Linked DNA regions of Nothobranchius furzeri. The protein of the gene in region 1 interacts with the protein of each later gene in a pairwise test. Links are inferred from orthologs where the notes say so. Each region holds a gene or a part of one and is shown on either strand. Other genes may lie near its edges.

Region 1 (4,007 bases):
CCTAAAGCAGTGTTAGCTAAAGCTGTAATCGGTCCAGAAACCTCAAAATGGGAAAAAAAAGTTTACTGACATTTTTCACAGGTTCCATGTTGCCAAATGTTGTTGTTGTTGTTGTTGTTCTGCATCAGTTTGGATGTTTTAATAAACATAAATTATTGCATGGATCATTTTACTCAACCATTTCCCCTTTAAATTAGCAACAAAAGGGTTCTGCATCTCACTGTTGTCCACCTCTAGCGAAACATCAGGAAACCTTCACAGAATGTTATAAAGACTAACACAGAGGTTAAGTAACAAGTGGATTTTGGCCCACATGGGGACAATTCCACACGTTTTCCCCAAAACAAACCCTTGCTGCTGAACGTGGAACGACTCCCAGGCAGATGTTTGTTGTATGTTTGAGCGTCTGTGCGTTCCCTAGAAAGGTTTTTTTTTTTGTTTACTTTGATGTATGTTTAGCCTCAGAATCCTCCGTTATCTCTGTGTTTATTATATTTCTTGCTTCTCCATAATGGCGACTGATTACAAAACATCCACCGTCAGTACAAGCCTTTGTTTCTTCTTGTTGAAGACAGCAGACGCGGTGTCTTCGTTTACAGTTACCGGCAGCTCCAGAAGCAGGTGGTACACGTCCGCCACCTCCAGAAGAACATCCTCCTGCAGAGAAAAATGCATCCAGGACTCTGTAATACTCCCTGTAGACCTGTTATGTGTTTTTATCAGATCCAGCGATGCGCTGAAGCCCAACGGACTCTTAAGTGACTCGCTATAACTCTTAGAGGGTTTGTGTGACTGCTAACCTTTGACACTCTCAGCTGGCACTCCGACACGGTGCGAACCTTTGGCAGCTCCACTGTCAGCTCCAGGCTGCGAAGAACTCCTTCTGTGTTGGTCTTCACCTCAAGTTGGTACTCTGGCTTCTGAGGCTCCACAGAAGTGGCAGAGATTACTTGGATCAAGTTCTTTTTGGGTCGCTCTGCAGGTCTACAGATAATTTGGGCTGTAGGGTTCTCTTCCTGTTTCCCTGACTGCTGGGATGAGAGTTGCTGCAGGAGGGAATGTGGAGTCTGACTCACTGTGGTAAGAAAGGTGATAATACATTTTAAATATCAGACTAAACTAAGCTTAAGCGGAGATAATAACAGGGATTAAACACTCGTTTACCTGTTTGTGTTGGTTTGAATGTGTAGTGCTGCTTCTGAAACCCAAGTCGACACTTAAATTGATCCGGGCTGCCATTTGGGCTACACCGGACAACACTGAACTCCTGAGATAGCTGCATCCCATGATGCTGCTGGGCAAAGTTCAGGGCCAGCTTATAGACATAATTAATGTCTTTATCTTTATTCTTCTGTAGCACCGCCGGATTTAACGCCACATCCAACACGACAAACCAGCCTGCATGGAGAAAAGCTTTGAGTTCATGTTTGTCTTAACGAGCAGGCCTGTGGTATAAAACACACCTTGGGCTTCAGTGGTGCCTGTTTCCAGTTTTCCTGTACACACCGGTAAAGAACTGCTGTCATCCCGAGGTGCAGGTACACTTTTCCAGCTGCATATATTAATGTAAAGCAAACCTGGTGTTGGTTCCTGATGAGAACACAGATGTACACTCACAACAGGACATTTCAAAATTATAAATAAGTTTGACTTCATTTATGAACGTGACACGAGTCAAAACTGTTCATCAAAGAATAATAACTACAAATTTTACTGATCCTTACACATTTATTTATGAATTTTCATTCTAGGCTGGTAAAATGTGGATATTTGAAGCTGGGGCAGTGAAGATTTATTCTTAAATTATATTTGCTAATTCTAAAATGTTGAAGTATGGATTATGAATTTCTTATTTTATTTTCACACCGTTGTTGCTACTCTAATGTTACATTATAACCATTGTTGCTCCAAAATAAAAATAAAAACTAATTCAATGATTTTTGTAGACGTTAACGAGTTTTAAATTATAACTATCGATTGGACATTTAAATATTAACATCTAAACTTATATTTAACAATAAAAAATGTTTTTCTAAAACAACAAATGGAGACTGAATGTATGATACATGGGGCTTCCATATATTAGCCTTCCTGAAGTACACCTGGCTGGAACTTCCTCACCTGTCGCCAGTTTAACTTACCAGGATTGGAGTTTTAATGCAGGAGTGGAGCTCAGGTGGAGAACATATTTCTGCTCCTTTCTTCATTTGCTCCTCGATGAATTTGTGGTATCCTGCTGGGTCATTCTGAGACAAGTCATCCAGCATGGACCAGAACTGGTTGACCTGCTGCAGGACATCCTCTGTCCGGCCAGCCGAGGACATGGTACGCTACCTGCTAGCTACTTTTAGCTAGCTAGCCCCTGCTGCTAGTTCGATTAGCTTCAATAGAGGAGGGATACAAGCTAGAAAAATGCTAGAGTGTAAGCGTTAAAAATAGAGGAAAAGGTTTGTATGTGGTATATTTAAAAAAAAGTGTCGTTATTGTTTTAAGAATTTAAAAACGAGCAAAGTCGTAATAAAAGCATTAACGATGCAAAAAGAGCCCCAGCTGCGCTAAAGTTCGTTGCTATGGAAACCACAAAACTTTAAATCGTCGCCACCTAGCGGATAAGATGAACTGCAGCTTTAGTAATCATACCCCACATAGCTGACTGGTCTGGGCCAGATCTGGCATCAGCATGGCACTGCTGGCTGACTGCTGGCATGGCAACCAGCGTTTCAGCCGAGTTCTGGCACTAAATACATACCAGACATGACCCAATAGTGGTTAAGGTGTATGTGGCCCGGATCTGTATGCTAAATGTGGGTCTATTAGGGCTGAACCTATGTTGCCCATTGCATGCAATTCTCCATCAAATAAATACTTCCTTTTTTTTCTAATTTTAGAGATACCAGCATCCCATTCAAAATTCTATGAATTGTTTTTATAATTTGTTTGCTAATACATTTAGGATACATTATGACAAATTTTGTCACTGCAAAAAACTTGGTAACGCTTTAAAAGATTGACTGATATATGTGGGGGTGGGGGTGGTTGAGTTGGTAGAAATCATGTTGCAGTCAGGCGAGCCAAGCCATTGTGTTAAAAAGAAGCATGATTTTATTATCAGTACATAAATAATATAACAGAAAACACATGTTGATACATTCTGTCTATTCATATGTGAACACCATATAACTGACATATGTATTTAATGTATGATTGTTCATAACGTCTCAAACACACTAAGGGCATCCTCTTGTTTGTTGTTTTCAGTAACTCTGCAAACAAAGAGAGTGATCATTAGCAATCAGTGTAAATTGTTTCATTGTGCAGCCTTTAGTGCTGCAGAGCAAAAACATAATGCAAATGACTGTAGTCAACAATCTCATGTGATCTAAACAGTTTTGATGTTGTAGTTCATTATTGCAAAGAGGGAAAAAAGGCCTTCTACTACTAGAAAAAGCAACTGAGAATGAAAGTTTTTGAAACAAATCTATAATTTTTAACTAATTAATTTGCTAACTATATTGCAGCTGTTTGATTAAACGGTATAGCACAATAGGGTTGGCATTACATTGTTTATCTTTGTGGTTTTTTGTTATTTTAACAGCAAAATAAACCAAACCTCAATTATATGATAGATCCAGTCCAAGAATTCAGCCACTTTGGTGTAAACCCCTGGATGGTTTGGTTCCGCACATCCTGTCCCCCAGCTGACGACTCCCACCAGCCTCCACACATTCTCATCCTGGCAAACCAGAGGACCGCCACTGTCCCCCTGGAGAGGTAGATGCACAAGCTCTTCTCTAAATCTCTAAGCACAAACAGTGGTGTCAAGTTCAAATACTTTGTTACCCTACTTAAGTAGAAATCGTGGGTATCCATACTCCACTGCAAATGCTATGTCCGCTGCTTAAATTTTCATACAATTTCCTCTGTCTTCTACTCCTTACAGTGTAAATTAGCCTTGTTGTTTATATTTCATTTCAGATTTTCATTGTTAAAGAAACCCTCAAAGATAA
Region 2 (4,172 bases), on another chromosome or scaffold:
ACCACGTGGAGGCAGCCTCCTCATGCTGAACCCTTAGACCCGCCCACAAGCTCACAGTTTAGCTCTGCCGTGTCGTGCCAACATGTGATTGGCTGTCCCTGCTGTCGCTCTAAATCAGTCGCCATGGAGACGACTGAAACCGGCGTTTTGCTCGTCGGCTGGAGTCTGCGCTCAGCTAGCTGTGAGTGTTTTATTCTGCCTGCATCACGTCAGCTGGATGGATTTTAATATCAGCTTTTGTTTACATTAACATTCGAGTCCGTGGTTGGTGCGTGTTGAGCAGAGTCAGCATGTCTGAGACAGAAAAGAGGACACGGGAGATTCTCCGCGTCATAAAAACTAATCGAATGAAAATAATTCCAACGGTTGGTATTAAGAAAATCGCCATTAGCTTTTCAGCATCACAGGAAACAGAGCAAACCGCGACGGGAGAGCGGAGAACGAAGCGGAGAGAACTGATCACCTGCATCAGCAGATTTTATAACGTTATGGAAACGTCACAAAGAAAATCCACCTTAGATGTCCCAGAAGCTCCTGGTGACTGATTACTGTCAAACGCTCGACTATTTACCAAATGTAAGATTCAGCTTCATTCCAGCATTATTTATACTTACAATAAATATTTATTTAGCTGAAAATATAATTTTATATCTGTGCAGAATTTTATTAGTTGACTTTTTGTCATGAAATGTTTAGATTTCGCCTTTTGTTATTACTTTTTATCCGGCTTATCAATAGTTATTATGCTGATAGAAATTTCCAGACAGTTGTGATGTGTGAGTGTTATTTTATTTTACCTAATATTTATTTTACTTCATGTCGTTCTCTGAACCAGAGCACAGACCTGTGGTCAGACAGGTCTGCGGTCATTAAACTGGTAAACATGAGGCCAGAGGTCGCACTGTTTTCTGACTGTTTGTGATTAAGTTCAGAGTTTAAACTGTTCATTAAAAATAGTTTGACCAAGTCCTTTTGAGGTTCCTATTTAGTAATAAATGTAAAAATTTCAATTTTTTTTTCATTTAAGCTGCATTTTTACAGACTTTGATCAACATAAATACTAAATAGAAACCAGACACTGAAAGCTGAGGTTGTTCTGATAAAAGGAGCAGAGTAACAAACATTTTGCACTTTTTGGAACCATTTCACAGCCAGAAAAACAATACCAGTTATATTTATGATCATAAGAGGGTTAAACATGTGATAAATGTTCTGCTGCCCACCAAGAGATGGTAAAAGTGAATGTGAGCATAACTGCATGTTTTATTACATTATTGTGTATTTTTATTGTTGACTATCATGTTATTACAACACTAGAAATAAATAATGAGGTAAATACTCCGGGTCAGCACCGTGAAGCAAAGTTATGGCCATAGCAGTATTCTGGAAATGAAATGTGTGTGTGTGTGTGGCCTTCTGTAAAGGGTGTTAGGTTGGCAGCAGAGCTCTCAAGTTTAGGGTTCAGAGTGAGATTGTGGAATTGGACCAGGAACTTCTTACAGACAGGAAAAGATCTCAGCTACCATAGCTGCAGATCACGCTGGATAACTTCTTGTGGTTGCATTTATTTTACTTTACTCATATTTTACCACCTCTGACATGAGCTGTCTTCAGTCAGTGTCGAATACAAATACAGACAGAAGGACAACTTGGGACCAGCTCAGTGGCCTAGTGGTAGTGTCCTCCCTGGGACTGCGAGATCAGGTTCGATTCTCTGTCGGGTCACACCAAAGACTTCAAGAGTCTCATTATGTGAACTTTTTAACTTGTTGGATGGTGAATCTGTTTAAAAATGTTGCTCTATATGTGCCCCTTTATGAACTTTGAGCACCCGCCTCTTCAAAGGTCTCTGCCCTGCATATAACCCAGATGTACACGCAACTAACCTACAAGGGCCGGGCCGTGCCGACCCAGGGGTAATAGCTCCATATATGTGGTGTTTAATGTTACCTCGATGACACCATCAGGCTCCATCCCATCTGGCCCTCCATGGTCTCGGTCTCTTGAGCTGGAAGAAAAATGCGTTACCGGTTCAAATGTACTCAATGCAGTTTAAATTAGGGGGGAGGGTCACGCCCAGTGAGTCTTATTTCGCTGCCTGGAGCTCCAGTGGGCACGTGCGTCAAATTCCACTGCCGGCGCATCTACCTGCCCCTCCGAAAATGCCCACTTATGAAACCTCTATCCATGTGAGAACTGTTCACACGCCAACTACGGCACACGTGATTTCGAAAATTAAAAAAATAAAATAAAATCACCGTCCCACGCGTTCAGTGCTTTCTGACATGGACTTTCCCCGCTATTGGCTAATATGTCGGGTGATTGGGCCTGTGAAGCCAACAGCGGTTTCTTCCGAGAACTAGGCCGAGCTGTGGTCATGCCCGACAAATTACCTCCACACTACCGAAAACAGGAAAAATGTCCGAGTAGCCAAGCGCAGAGAGGAGAGCGAAGACGTCGTTTAAATGTGGAACAGCGCGGAACCTAGGGGCTAACCGCTAACACTAGCAACCAAATCACTTCCGACTAGCAGCATTAGGGCCTAGCTAACGACATATTACTAAGTTACCGTTTGTACTTCTAACCGGAATCGAAGGTTTAGGTAACACCGATCATTACGTTTCGTGTCTGGAAGTGACTGAATGCAGACTTATTACCTGTTGTAATCAGCAGAGTCGCCAGACATGATCCGTTCACAACCGCAGCATGCGACTGAAAAGATCGCTAATGGCGACGCCAACTGCTTTTATGGAGTCAGACGATCTTCACTGACATCTCTACAGCTCACGTTGGTTAACAAAAATATTATTTGACTGACTAATTGATTGTGTGTTTGACATTTTATCCACAGTTTACTATGTCCAACATATTTGTAAATAAACTGATAATGTGTTTAAATCGCTCAAGACTATATTTCTGTGCGGAGGTATAATGCAGTAATGGGGTAGTACCTCGACCTCTATAGTGTAACAGGTGGGTCAAAATTCATCGTGACTAGGTTGTGGAATATATTAGAAGCCAGACTTCCGGTTCCAAACAATGATGAATGTTGATAATGAAAAAACTGAAATGCTGTCATAAAACAATGTTTTTTTCCCCCGCAGTCACTTGATTGGCAGGATTTTTAAAAGAAGGAATAAGATTTGATAATAATTAACACACTGATGGAGGAATATACTCAAAGCGACAGTTCAGATCTAGAGAAGAAGTTTTTTTGTTGAAAGGTTACTTCGTCTGTTATAGATAGCTTTTCGATTGTTTTCACTTCATAGAAGCACAGATAATCAGATAGACAGCAAACACTCAAAATGGGGCCTGGTACAAGTGTGTGTCTGCCATGTAAAACAACTCCAACCTAAAAAAAATCACAGCAGTTTGGGCTAACATTTCATGGCACTGTAGTACAGTTGGCCACACACTGTTATTTTCATATGAATCTTAGTATATTTACAGCAAAAATCAGTAGAAAATCACTCCTGCAACATTAAATGAAAAATTGGTAGCAACGTTTAAAAATAGTATTTAAAAAGCTGTTATATCAACTGCTTTAACATTTCTTTTGTTGATGACAGACATTCACATTGTAACTGTAAATAACTGTCTGGTTAAAAGTAATCTGTTTCTCCAAACTGGAGTTAATCAAAGATTGTTTTAAAAAAGGGAAGATAACAAAATTCCGTAACTTTCCCACGTAAAAAAATCTGAACTATTCAGAATCACAATCACTTTAATTGTTATTGAGCCATCGTCCCAGCACAATGAAATTCAGTTTCAGAACAACCTGTCCGAGATTTGCCCTACCGCACATTACAGGACACATAACAAAATCAGGCTGAACAGTGGGCATGCAGCTGTTCACGGCGCTCCAATTTATGCAGAAAAGAAAGGGCAACAAGAGGATATAGAGCTCCGGGAGTTGACGTCACTTCTCCCGGCATGCAACAGTTCAAATCGAAACGGCGCCATATTGGCAGGCAGAAGCCGGCAGCTGGACTATTTGTTATTGTCAGAAAACTCAATCGAACAGGAAATATGGTAGATTCCCGTTGAGCCCCAGGATGCAGAACAGACGCGGACGACATAAGGGATGAGTCATCTACAGGATTCCCCAAGATCCGGAGCGCCACAAACGTTGGATCATTGTAATAAAACGCGCTAGTGACTGGGCTGAA
Region 3 (2,836 bases), on another chromosome or scaffold:
TCATTTGGCTTCACATCCAGTACAAACATCTCCCAAATGTTAAAAGTTACACTAATAAACATGTTGGACAACATGCCACAAGAACTTCATAAAGGTTATTTTGAACTGGAGGAAATGATCATGTAGTGCACGTTTCTCTGGCGAGTAATTACATTGTCAGCAAACGCTTAAGCCATGAGGGAAAGGCCACTGTTACCCATCTGCAAATCCACAAAAAAAAAAAGCACAAACACATCCCTTTTAGCATACTCAAACAGCAAGAAGTTGGCTTTTTTGTTCTCAACACGGTGTAGTTGTCTGTTTTATCGCTTTTCCTTCATAAAGTTACACATTGCGGCCTGGCTTTGCCAACGTGAGCGTGGGTCTGAGAGGTGTGTGTGTGTGTGTGTGTGTGTAAATGTGTGTGTACAGGTGTAACATCTCCAAGTCTGTTATTCGCAATGTTTCCTCCTTCTCTTCGCCTCAGTTTAAGCTCCTGCATTTACCTTGATGCTTAGAGCTCCGGCAAAGCAAATAGTTTGTTCTCCGCTGCTGCTGCTTGTCGGCGACAAACACAAACTGAAATCTCCAAAAAGCCTCAGAGCTGGGGATCAACAACACATCTCCCCTTCTGAGAGGGAGAGGAATGAAAAAAGGATGCCGGCTAATCATTTTCCATTTTTATCCACTGCCTTTGTTAGCTAGCTTTGAGGGTGTCCCGGTGTCCGATGTCGGGTCATCCCGCAGCCTTGTGCTTGCCCCCGCAGCAGTGGCAGGCCTCGCCGCAGTGGTGGCAGGCGCGCAGGGGCAGGTAGCAGCACATGCAGGGCGCGATGAACGACAGCGCCAACAGGGCCAGCCAGCGCAGGCAGAACTGCTCGTCGGAGGTGTCGCACGAACACGGGTCTGAAAAGTCTCCCTCCGAGTCGGACATACAGTGATACAGCATGCTCTCGGCACAAAGCATGCAGCTGACTTTGTAGATACACTGCTTGATTGGGTCGGGGGCATCCGGACACTGCCCCCGCCAATTGTCTTCGTGGTTGAACATCTCTCGACAATAAATGCAACGCGAGCGCTCGCCGTCTTCTCTTCGCCGGCGGCCCTTCTTCGACTTGAGAAGGGGCGACGGCTGAGTCTTGATGGCCGTGTCCTTGCCTAGCCCGAGCCCCATCCCTGTTCCAATTCCCAAACCGGGGCCAGAGTGAGAGTCTCCACCGGGGCCATCAGGAAAAAGGTACTCAAACTTCTTACTGTCCAGTTTGTTAAAAGATGCAGGGAAGTCCATGTCCTCGCGGTCGGCATCGCGTCTGCTCATGACAGGGTGGCGGTAGTCCTCATAGCCTCGGATGAACACGTCTTTACGTGGGTTGATGCGAACAATCTCCTCTTCGTCCAAGTGAAAGCTGACTCGACGAGTCGACTTAAAGAAAACCATCAGAAACAATAAAAAAAAAAATCAGAAAAGGTTTTTCCATGATGCAATTTTTAAACAGAAGAGGCAGCTTCAGGAACTCACCGGTGGAGGCAAGTAGCGGCGGTTTTCATTGAAGGGCTGCGTTGGGACGTAGCAACCTCGGAATGGCTCGGTGGGGACAACGAAGGTCTCTTTCATTGGGGTGCAGATCGAGGGAGGCTCGTTGCACACCTGAGGAAACCAAAGTGAGTTTATTATTAAACACAAAAATAAAAAAGGCTTTTAAAAATTTTAGATGAACACCAGCCCCCTTGGCATATATAGAACATGATTCATAGCCGTTACAGTGACTACTACATTTAGCAGAAACACGTTTAGAATTCCTGATAAGCAACCCAAATCACTAACCAATAAATAATACATAATTAAACACACCAAAACTGCAGCTTAAACATTTGACATTCTCACTTTGAATATTATTTCACTGTTGAGCAGTAGTGGTCAGCTTTTATGACTAGAAAAGCTTTGACTCAAGGTGTGTAGGCTGTGTTCGCCCATGTGTGTGTGTGTGTGTGTGTGTGTGTGTGTGTTATTGAACCACCAGGGGGCATCCTGCACCCACGCTCAGCCAAAATGACTTGTTGTGTGGTGATGACTCAAGGCCCTTCTGTTGCAAGAACTCAGAGTTCCCATCAGGCTTGCATGTGTTCCCACAAACAAACACACACCAGAAAAAAATGCTTTTGAACAATACAACGAGATAAATGAAAGTAAATATTTTCTTCGCTTTGCACCGACTGACCTGATAGGAAAAACTCAAGTGTTGAAATTAGGGTGGTTGTCTAGAATTAGCATCTAATAAATGTCAGATATGATCTCAGGTTTGACAGATGAAGATGGATGTGATCTTCAGGAGACTTTTGTTTCTACTTCTAACATTGACGCAAACTGAGGTAACCTCACCTAACTCCGACCCAACCCTAGTCGCTGTCCAGCTAGCCCTCTTGTCTCACACATCAACCTGATGAAGACAGGGTTAGCTCCTTTCCTCCTCTCTCCTCTGTGCATGTGGAGGAGGCTGCTGGCTCTGGTTAGTCAGTGCCGTGTGTAAAATAGCCCACACCAGTGCTTTAACGCACAGCGGAAATCTGGTTTGCTCCTAGCTGCTGCTACAGTAATTACTGTCCTGTGGTTGCTAAGAGATGCTTCCTTTGACTTCCACCCCCCCCCCCCCCCCCATCTCGACTGCTAGCACATGAATGTGCGTGACTTTGCTCTTTCTTTGCCTTCAAACACACCAAATGGCGTAACACACATCCACAGTGTCTGCAGGGGAATGCAAGGAACAGGAGACAGAGGATAGAGAGAGAAGAGAAAGAACAGAGCAGGAAAAAATGAGATTGTGTTGCATGCATGTGTGCGTCTTTGTGTGAAAGCTCA
Region 4 (2,974 bases), on another chromosome or scaffold:
TTTCTGACTGGATAAGAAATCTTCTTCCTGTCCGTGTAGTCTTTAGGTGTAACGGTTGTCTAAATACTATCTTTGGTCACTCAACGCATGATAAGTCAAACTGTGGCTTTCCACAGAATTAAATGCAACAAACAAGAGCTTGAAGCGGCCACAGTGCTAGACAGATGCCTCTTCTGATCAACCAGGGGTTTAAAGAGTTAAGTCTAGTTTATACGTCATCGTCTGCATCGGTGCGGAGACACGCAATGCCACTATCCGCCGTCGCAAGTGCGCTCTATCAACAGGCTCGTGAGGACGGATGGAGTCCAACCCACTTTTCCAAGTATTCGTCAAAAGTCACAGATCGCAAGAACTCCCGATAGGGAGCCTAAACCACCTCACTTTCCAGCCGGCTCATGGGCCCCCGGAAGAACAAAAAATAAATGCCAAGTCATCGGAGCTTAAAGAGCTAATTTTGCTTTGCTTCACGTGCTGGAACGCACATGTTGTACTGCAGTTTAAATGAAAACTAATGAGTGTTTGGACCATGCCAGTCACGTACTTTGATATTCATCAGGTAGTAAAAGTTTGTAATTAGCACGACTACAAATCGGACATGGGCACGTCACCACAGAATCCTCTCCCCCCCCCCCCCCCCCCCCCCCCCCAGCGTAGCTGCTACTCACCACATGGCCAGATTTATGGTACTTCTTTCCTCCTGACGGAAGGATTGGAGGTTCCCTGAACTTGCAGCCATTTTCCCGCGGTTTTTCTCCATGTCTGGTTCCATGACGTAACTTAAGTGATGCACATTTTTAGTCCTGGACGCATTTTCACACAAAACCTACATTATTTTTGCCCCTGATGCGAGTTCTTTGCATCAAAATGCCGTACCGACAAGTATAAATGGAAAATGTCTCTGTTAATACGTGTGCTCGTGAGCTCATAGCTGCTGATGGATTAGTATAAACTAAACCCAACTCCTAAATGATAGAACAGCTTCTGCTCCACCCACTTTCTGCAACGGCATCATGGTTGCAAGGACGACGAGTCGATGGTGTCCACGTGACATTTGACTGGTAGACTGGCCGCTGTAGAACCACGTTGTTTTTGCCCAGCAGGGACAACCGGAGTCGGAGACCGTTCACCTGTTCATCCCTGCACTAGCAGTGGGAGCCATCATCGGAAAACAGGGTCAGCACATCAAACAGCTGTCACATTTTGCAGGAGCCTCAATCAAGGTGAGTGACGGATGAAATGTGTGATGCTGAGCGTACGCCAGGAACATGATGAACGAACGTAAAGCTGTTTATTAATTCAGTGTGTGTGTGTGTGTGTGTGTGTGTGTGTGTCAGATTGCTCCTGCAGAAGGAATGGATGCCAAGCAGAGGATGGTCATCATTGTTGGACCTCCAGAGGCTCAGTTTAAGGTGAAGCTACCTTCACATTTAGGAGCAGGTTCACTGACCATCGTTTTACTCGGTATTGAAAACGATTGGCCGCTGAGTTAGCATGCAGGCTAAACGTGAAAACGATCTCCTACACCTATTTCCTGCGTTAGCCTCTGATAGAAAATAGACCAAAAAAAATGCTTGGTTCAGAAATGTCTGACAGGACTACTTAACATTCATGGACTCACCCATCTTGACTTGCAACGGGGAAGGCTGTTTTAGCATCAGGAAACGGCAACGTCTCTGCCTAGTAGAAGCTAACGTTAGCATTAGCAACTCCACTACACAGCAGAACTCCAGGCTTGTGTTACTGGTGCAAATAAAACATCAACATTGCAGCGCTAACAGAGTCGGTGGTTTGAGTCGTGTTGCTGTTAGCCAATCAGAGAAGAGATGCCTAAATATCAGGAACTACGACTCCAGATCCTGCCGTCTGAAGCTACTTTCTCCTCTGGCTTAATTCTCTGTGCTGAAACAGATGCCCTGGAACCGTCTTTCATCCCAAGCTCACTCCCAGTGCTCTTTGCTCGTACCTCAGCAGAACCGCAGCCTCTGCAAGCTCAAACGTATTGAGCACCACCCCTAAATGTACATGAACTCAGGTTGCTTGTTGTGATTTATCTATCTTAATTGGCAATAAAAATTTGCGTTTACTTAGAGTTCAAATTGATCATTTATGAAATCAAACGTTTTGCTTTTTATATTTATAACTTCAGCTTCGTACAAAACAAGAAAACAAAAAATTAAACAAATTTCCAAATAAATTAGAATAAATAAGTGTGTGTGTGTGTGTGTGTACATCACCCACACGTTAGAAAGGCTTGCCACTCCCCTGCCTTTCCCCTCTTCTACAGCACATGCAGGCGGCTCAGTCCTCCATTGTAGCTGCAGCGAGCCGGAGACATTAAGCCCCAACCCAGGGACTGCTTTCTAGCATGTTTTAGTGGTTTCCCTGCTCCAACATGCCTTTACTCAATCGAATCACCATTTCAGCCTGTTAATGAAAATCAAGAGTTTGGGCCCCCTGCCATAGCCCTTCATCTGTCTGTGAGCTGTTTGTGTGTTACAGTGACGTGTAGGTTCCCGAGTTTAAAAACCCCTTTACTCGAACCCTTCTGGTTACAGGCCCAGTGTCGTATATTTGGCAAACTAAAAGAAGAGAACTTCTTTGGACCCAAGGAGGAGGTGAAGCTGGAAGCGCATATCAAAGTTCCCTCGTTTGCTGCGGGACGCGTCATTGGAAAGGGTGGAAAAACGGTGAGAAGGTGACAGGATTTCGCACACGACTGAATTACTCATCAGTGCTACATTTGGTTCCTTGATGCATCTTCAGGTAAACGAGCTTCAGAATTTGACCTGTGCTGAGGTGGTGGTGCCCAGGGACCAGACGCCCGATGAGAACGACCAGGTCATTGTAAAGATTAGCGGACACTTCTTCGCGTGCCAGGTGGGTCATGAACACAGGCTTGATGAGGAGCTAGGGGGGAAAGACTTGGCTTTGTTCCTGATGGTGTCATTGTGTGGTCCAGCTGGCTCAGAGGAAG
Region 5 (4,216 bases), on another chromosome or scaffold:
TCCTACACCTATCTCCTGCATTACCTTCTGATAGAAAATAGATGGTGAAACTCTAGGATTTTAAAATCCTCACACATCTATGTCACACTATGAATTTGCATTCATGGTCTCGCCCATCTTGGCAAGCGCCCGTCCACAGGAAGGCTTGTTTTTTTTGCAGCAGGGAGAGCGAGCGGAGGGTGTTTTGGTGACAGTGACATGGCTGAACATGTTCTGTTAGCCAATCAGAAGCAAGACGTGTGCAATTCAATAATAGTAATGAGTAATTCTACTGTTTTCAGTCCATCTCTGCACCAGAAAACATCTGCATCTCATAACAGGAGCATCATAGCTTTATTTTTTTTTATGGCTCATAAGGCATTGAATTACACTAAAGAACACTGCACAAGTATTGAATAAATGAGTAAATCCCTCCTTTAAAAGTAAAATATTTGACCTTGGATCGGTACCAGTCCTCTGTCTCCTGCAGGTTTGAAGTGGCCATATTCTCGTACTGAACTCTGATGTCTCTCAGAGCAGCAGTTAAATCTGGTTTTGACACATCCACGTCAACGTGGACCTGTTGGGCCATGATCTGCTCCTGCAGCTCACGCAGCTCCTGGAAGAAAAACGTGGCAAAAGTCGTGATTTTGCTAAAATCTGTCTAGTTGTTTTGGACCAACTTCAGCGTTTCTTCATACTTCTTCATGAATTTTCTTCAGGAAATTAATTTCATCCTGCAGGGCCTCGATCTTTCTCTCCAACTGGACCCGACTGAGCGCTGCTTCATCCACATCCTGTGTGAATAATGAGAAACATCGCAGGATGACAGCAAACAACATTGAGATTGTCAATATTTTAAAGATTTTTTAATATTACTAATATTTCCACCTGTCTGAAGGCGTTCAAGCTGTTCTCTGCTTCCTGTCGGAGGCCCATTTCATCCTGCAGCCTGAGTCAAGAAAAATGTGAAGAGCTTCTTACTGAGAGTTCCCAGCCAGGAGGAATTAAATTACACTAAAATATTTCTGAAACATTTGATATGTATATATGTATATATATATATATATATATATATATATATATATATATATATATATATATATATATATATATATATATATATATATATATATATCACAAATGAGAGCACAATGTCTGGGGTCCTTGGGTCAGAAAAAACAAACTCCTGCGCAAAGTTTAGTTAGCTAAAGTTTAATTAAGAAAAATTAAACGTATTTTAAAAATGTGTTCAGATTTTTGTTTTGTCTTCTACTGAGCTGCAGAGGAGTGGCAGGACTCAGCTGAAAGAGCAGCGGCTTACGCATCATTACACTTCCAGTCTAATCTAACAGCCGGAGGAGACCTTTCCCACGGGATGGAACACACACACACACACACACACACACACACACACACACACACACACACACACACAGAGAGAGAGAGAATCCGTGTCAGCGCAGCACACAGACTGATCCTACCCACTAGAAGCAAATGAAACGTAGAGTGACATCATGCAGCTTCATGCAGAGGTTGCTAACAGAAAGAGCAGCACGAATTTTAAAAAAGGTGACCTTTAACCCCTGAAGCAGCAGCATCCCTATTCATCCTGCAATCTCTCACAGGACCAGCAGCTGCTTGGTCAGAGGGCAAAAAAAAAAAAAACCCTCCAGTTTCCACCCTGAGACTTTCTATTGGCCTGTCTCAAAATGAAAAAGCTGACATGAGGCGTGATGGTGGATGTGGAGAAAAGGAGCCGGATAACCAGCGGTGGTGACTTTGTGCTTTGGAGAAAGAGAGGAAAGCTACATCTGCCTGGCATTCTGTTCCCTTTGTGGAGCGCCACCATTGTGCTGCTTCATTCCTCCACACTGACTGAATGGCAGCGAGGGTTCAGTCAGGATCACGTTTGTAAAGAGGGATAGAGGAGTAAAGCCCAGGCAGACCACAGCGCTCTGCATTCCAACCAACCACAAACACATGTAAACAGAAGCGCTACGTAAATACAGACATGACAGGTGTATTTACAGGAATTAACAAAAACATTCTTCACAAGGTCAAATTACTCCTCTTTATGTAGTTTGAAGCACTGAGACTTTTTTGGGGGCTGTTCCGGTTTTCTCCTGGATTTATAAGCTGATGGGAAGAAAAGACTAGGGGAAAAGTTTTAATCCCATCATTATTTCTGTGAAGCATCAATAGGACAGCGAGCACACAAGACACACAAAGGCCCAGGTCTACTTTGGGACCGTTCTCTCCTACCTCTGCTTGAGCGTGCCCAGGTCTGCAGACAGGTTGTCCCTCTCTATCTCCAGACGAGCCTTGCCATTGGTGAGATCGTCCACCTGCCGTCGTAGATCTCTCAGCTCCATCTGGTAGATGTCCCCCAGGCGGCTAGGCTCCTTCCCCTTCAGCTGGTTCAGTTCTGCCACCAGAACTTTGTTCTGCTGCTCCAAAAGCCGCACCTTCTCTATGTAGCTGGCAAAGCGGTCGTTCAGGCCCATCATCTCCATCTTCTCGTTGGTACGAGTTTCTTTGTACTGGGCCTTCAACAAGGAGTCAGCTGAGAAGTCCAGCCGGTCAACGGGGCTGCCCAGCAGCAAGGCCGTGCTGGAGGAGCCCAGGGAGACCCGGGAGACGGGGCTGGAGTGGGTGATGCTTCGAGGGGCGCCATGCCAGGAGAGGCGGTGGGAAGATAGTCCACCTATTTTACCTCCTGAGCTGCTTGAGCTCTGCGGCCCAAAACGTCTCCTGTATGAGGACTGTGCTCTAAGGCTGTCCATGATAGGGAATAAGCTCATTCAGGGGACAAACAGGGCTTTTATATAGGGAGAAACCCCCCCACCCCAAGTCCAGCAGAGAGGCCACAGGCTGGGGCAGTGAGAGAGGAGGGTGGCAGGCAGTGAATGGAACAAAAAGAGATGGCAAAGGGGAGGTTTACATGCGCCAGGGATTGTCTGTGCTCCTCCACTCAACTACAAATGTCTCCTGGATTTTTTTTTTTACCCTCTCGTCTCCCCCTTTTCTCCCCTTGGGCTCACTCTTTCACGCTTACGTTCGCCCCGTTTTTGTTCGCCCTCTTTCTTTCTGTTCCAAGCGAATGAAAAGGAATTTTGTGCAACAGAGTCTGGCCACAAATTCAACCTGACCACACACACTCTCGCAGCCGCGGCAGGAGGACCGGTCCAAACAGAAGAGCATGTTGGGGAGGTCGGCAATAAAGACAGAAGATAAAATCACATGCTCACAGCATGCTTTGAGCTCTAAATAAACAAGATGTAGGACTGAACTATCAACATTCCTCCCGATTCCTGTTGGGATCTAGTTACGTAACGACATAACTGCTAATAAACTCGAGAATAATTTAAAACATTGGATTCATTTTTAGAGTTACAGGTTTTCCGTCCTGCATCCATATCTGCAATGCTTAAAATGAAGGAAGTATAGGAGGAGACAATAAATGAACACATTCTGAAAGTTTTATTTAAAGATAAACAGGAAGACAAATCAGCAAAGGTCTGACATGAGAGACCCTGCTGATCATCTGTGGCTCAAGCTTTCAGTGTTTGCGAGGCTGTTGGTAACAAATTAAATAAAGATTTAATTCGAACTGGTTATGGATCCACGCAGAAGCCAATCAAATAGTTCATGGACCAGAGCTAACATTTCTCAGAAAGGATTTAATCACTGGTCTGATAAATAATCATCAGTTATATAAAGCTACCTTCTCATTTCACAGTAGAGTAATACATGAATTCATCCTTTCAGCATTTGTGGGTAATGATAGCATTCATCCTGTCATCATCGTGGAGGATGCAAACCGCTGTAGAAGAAGAAAAGGAGTTACAAGATTTTGATTCTGATGATTGTGAACTAGTTTCAGGTTATTTGACATCCGGCTGCTTGGAGAGACAGATAGACGGAGTAGATGAAGAGGAGCACGACGATGAATACAAGAAGGACGGGGGGGGGGGGGGTTCGGTGAGTGCAAACCTAATCTGAACTTCAGAATGACAAACGGAGGCTGCATTACAAAACCCTTTTGACTCATTACCTTGACAACCGCTGGGCCGGCTACATCAGAGCACTTCAGCAAATCTTCTCTTGACTTTTTCTTCGTCTAAAGTCGAGCAGGAAGAAGAGAATGTGACCTGCTTTCTTCTGTAAGTGGCCAGAAGGGTCCCTCAGTGCAACAATGTTACCTAATGAGGCCAGGAAGCAGGTGAAGTGATGA

What was found.
Region 2: the proteins of pih1d2 (region 1) and eif4a2 interact in binary tests that used the Homo sapiens proteins (3 or more experiments, as listed by UniProt). The two-hybrid records come from large-scale screens. The link is inferred for Nothobranchius furzeri from reciprocal best matches to the Homo sapiens genes PIH1D2 and EIF4A2.
Region 3: the proteins of pih1d2 (region 1) and spred1 interact in binary tests that used the Homo sapiens proteins (3 or more experiments, as listed by UniProt). The link is inferred for Nothobranchius furzeri from reciprocal best matches to the Homo sapiens genes PIH1D2 and SPRED1.
Region 4: the proteins of pih1d2 (region 1) and igf2bp3 interact in a two-hybrid assay, tested with the Homo sapiens proteins (2 studies listed by BioGRID and IntAct). The two-hybrid records come from large-scale screens. The link is inferred for Nothobranchius furzeri from reciprocal best matches to the Homo sapiens genes PIH1D2 and IGF2BP3.
Region 5: the proteins of pih1d2 (region 1) and gfap interact in binary tests that used the Homo sapiens proteins (3 or more experiments, as listed by UniProt). The two-hybrid records come from large-scale screens. The link is inferred for Nothobranchius furzeri from reciprocal best matches to the Homo sapiens genes PIH1D2 and GFAP.

What each region holds. Positions count from the first base shown.
Region 1 is NC_091753.1:48,839,185-48,843,191, forward strand, and holds the start of pih1d2 (PIH1 domain-containing protein 2), read right to left. Parts: upstream 2,816-4,007; 5' UTR 2,325-2,815; coding exon 2,142-2,324; intron 1,591-2,141; coding exon 1,464-1,590; intron 1,399-1,463; coding exon 1,165-1,398; intron 1,076-1,164; coding exon 801-1,075; intron 658-800; coding exon 523-657; 3' UTR 1-522. Other genes in the region: tmprss5 (transmembrane protease serine 5), read right to left, coding at 3,255-3,263, 3,611-3,763.
Region 2 is NC_091751.1:69,527,099-69,531,270, reverse strand, and holds the start of eif4a2 (eukaryotic initiation factor 4A-II), read right to left. Parts: upstream 2,815-4,172; 5' UTR 2,687-2,814; coding exon 2,658-2,686; intron 2,009-2,657; coding exon 1,951-2,008; intron 1-1,950. UniProt on the Homo sapiens protein: ATP-dependent RNA helicase which is a subunit of the eIF4F complex involved in cap recognition and is required for mRNA binding to ribosome.
Region 3 is NC_091758.1:26,594,199-26,597,034, reverse strand, and holds the end of spred1 (sprouty-related, EVH1 domain-containing protein 1), read right to left. Parts: intron 1,628-2,836; coding exon 1,499-1,627; intron 1,403-1,498; coding exon 716-1,402; 3' UTR 518-715; downstream 1-517. UniProt on the Homo sapiens protein: Tyrosine kinase substrate that inhibits growth-factor-mediated activation of MAP kinase. Negatively regulates hematopoiesis of bone marrow.
Region 4 is NC_091751.1:26,461,706-26,464,679, reverse strand, and holds part of igf2bp3 (insulin-like growth factor 2 mRNA-binding protein 3), read left to right. Parts: intron 1-1,097; coding exon 1,098-1,220; intron 1,221-1,334; coding exon 1,335-1,409; intron 1,410-2,555; coding exon 2,556-2,687; intron 2,688-2,763; coding exon 2,764-2,877; intron 2,878-2,959; coding exon 2,960-2,974. UniProt on the Homo sapiens protein: RNA-binding factor that may recruit target transcripts to cytoplasmic protein-RNA complexes (mRNPs). This transcript 'caging' into mRNPs allows mRNA transport and transient storage.
Region 5 is NC_091745.1:10,095,905-10,100,120, reverse strand, and holds the start of gfap (glial fibrillary acidic protein), read right to left. Parts: upstream 2,801-4,216; 5' UTR 2,784-2,800; coding exon 2,245-2,783; intron 932-2,244; coding exon 871-931; intron 777-870; coding exon 681-776; intron 599-680; coding exon 437-598; intron 1-436.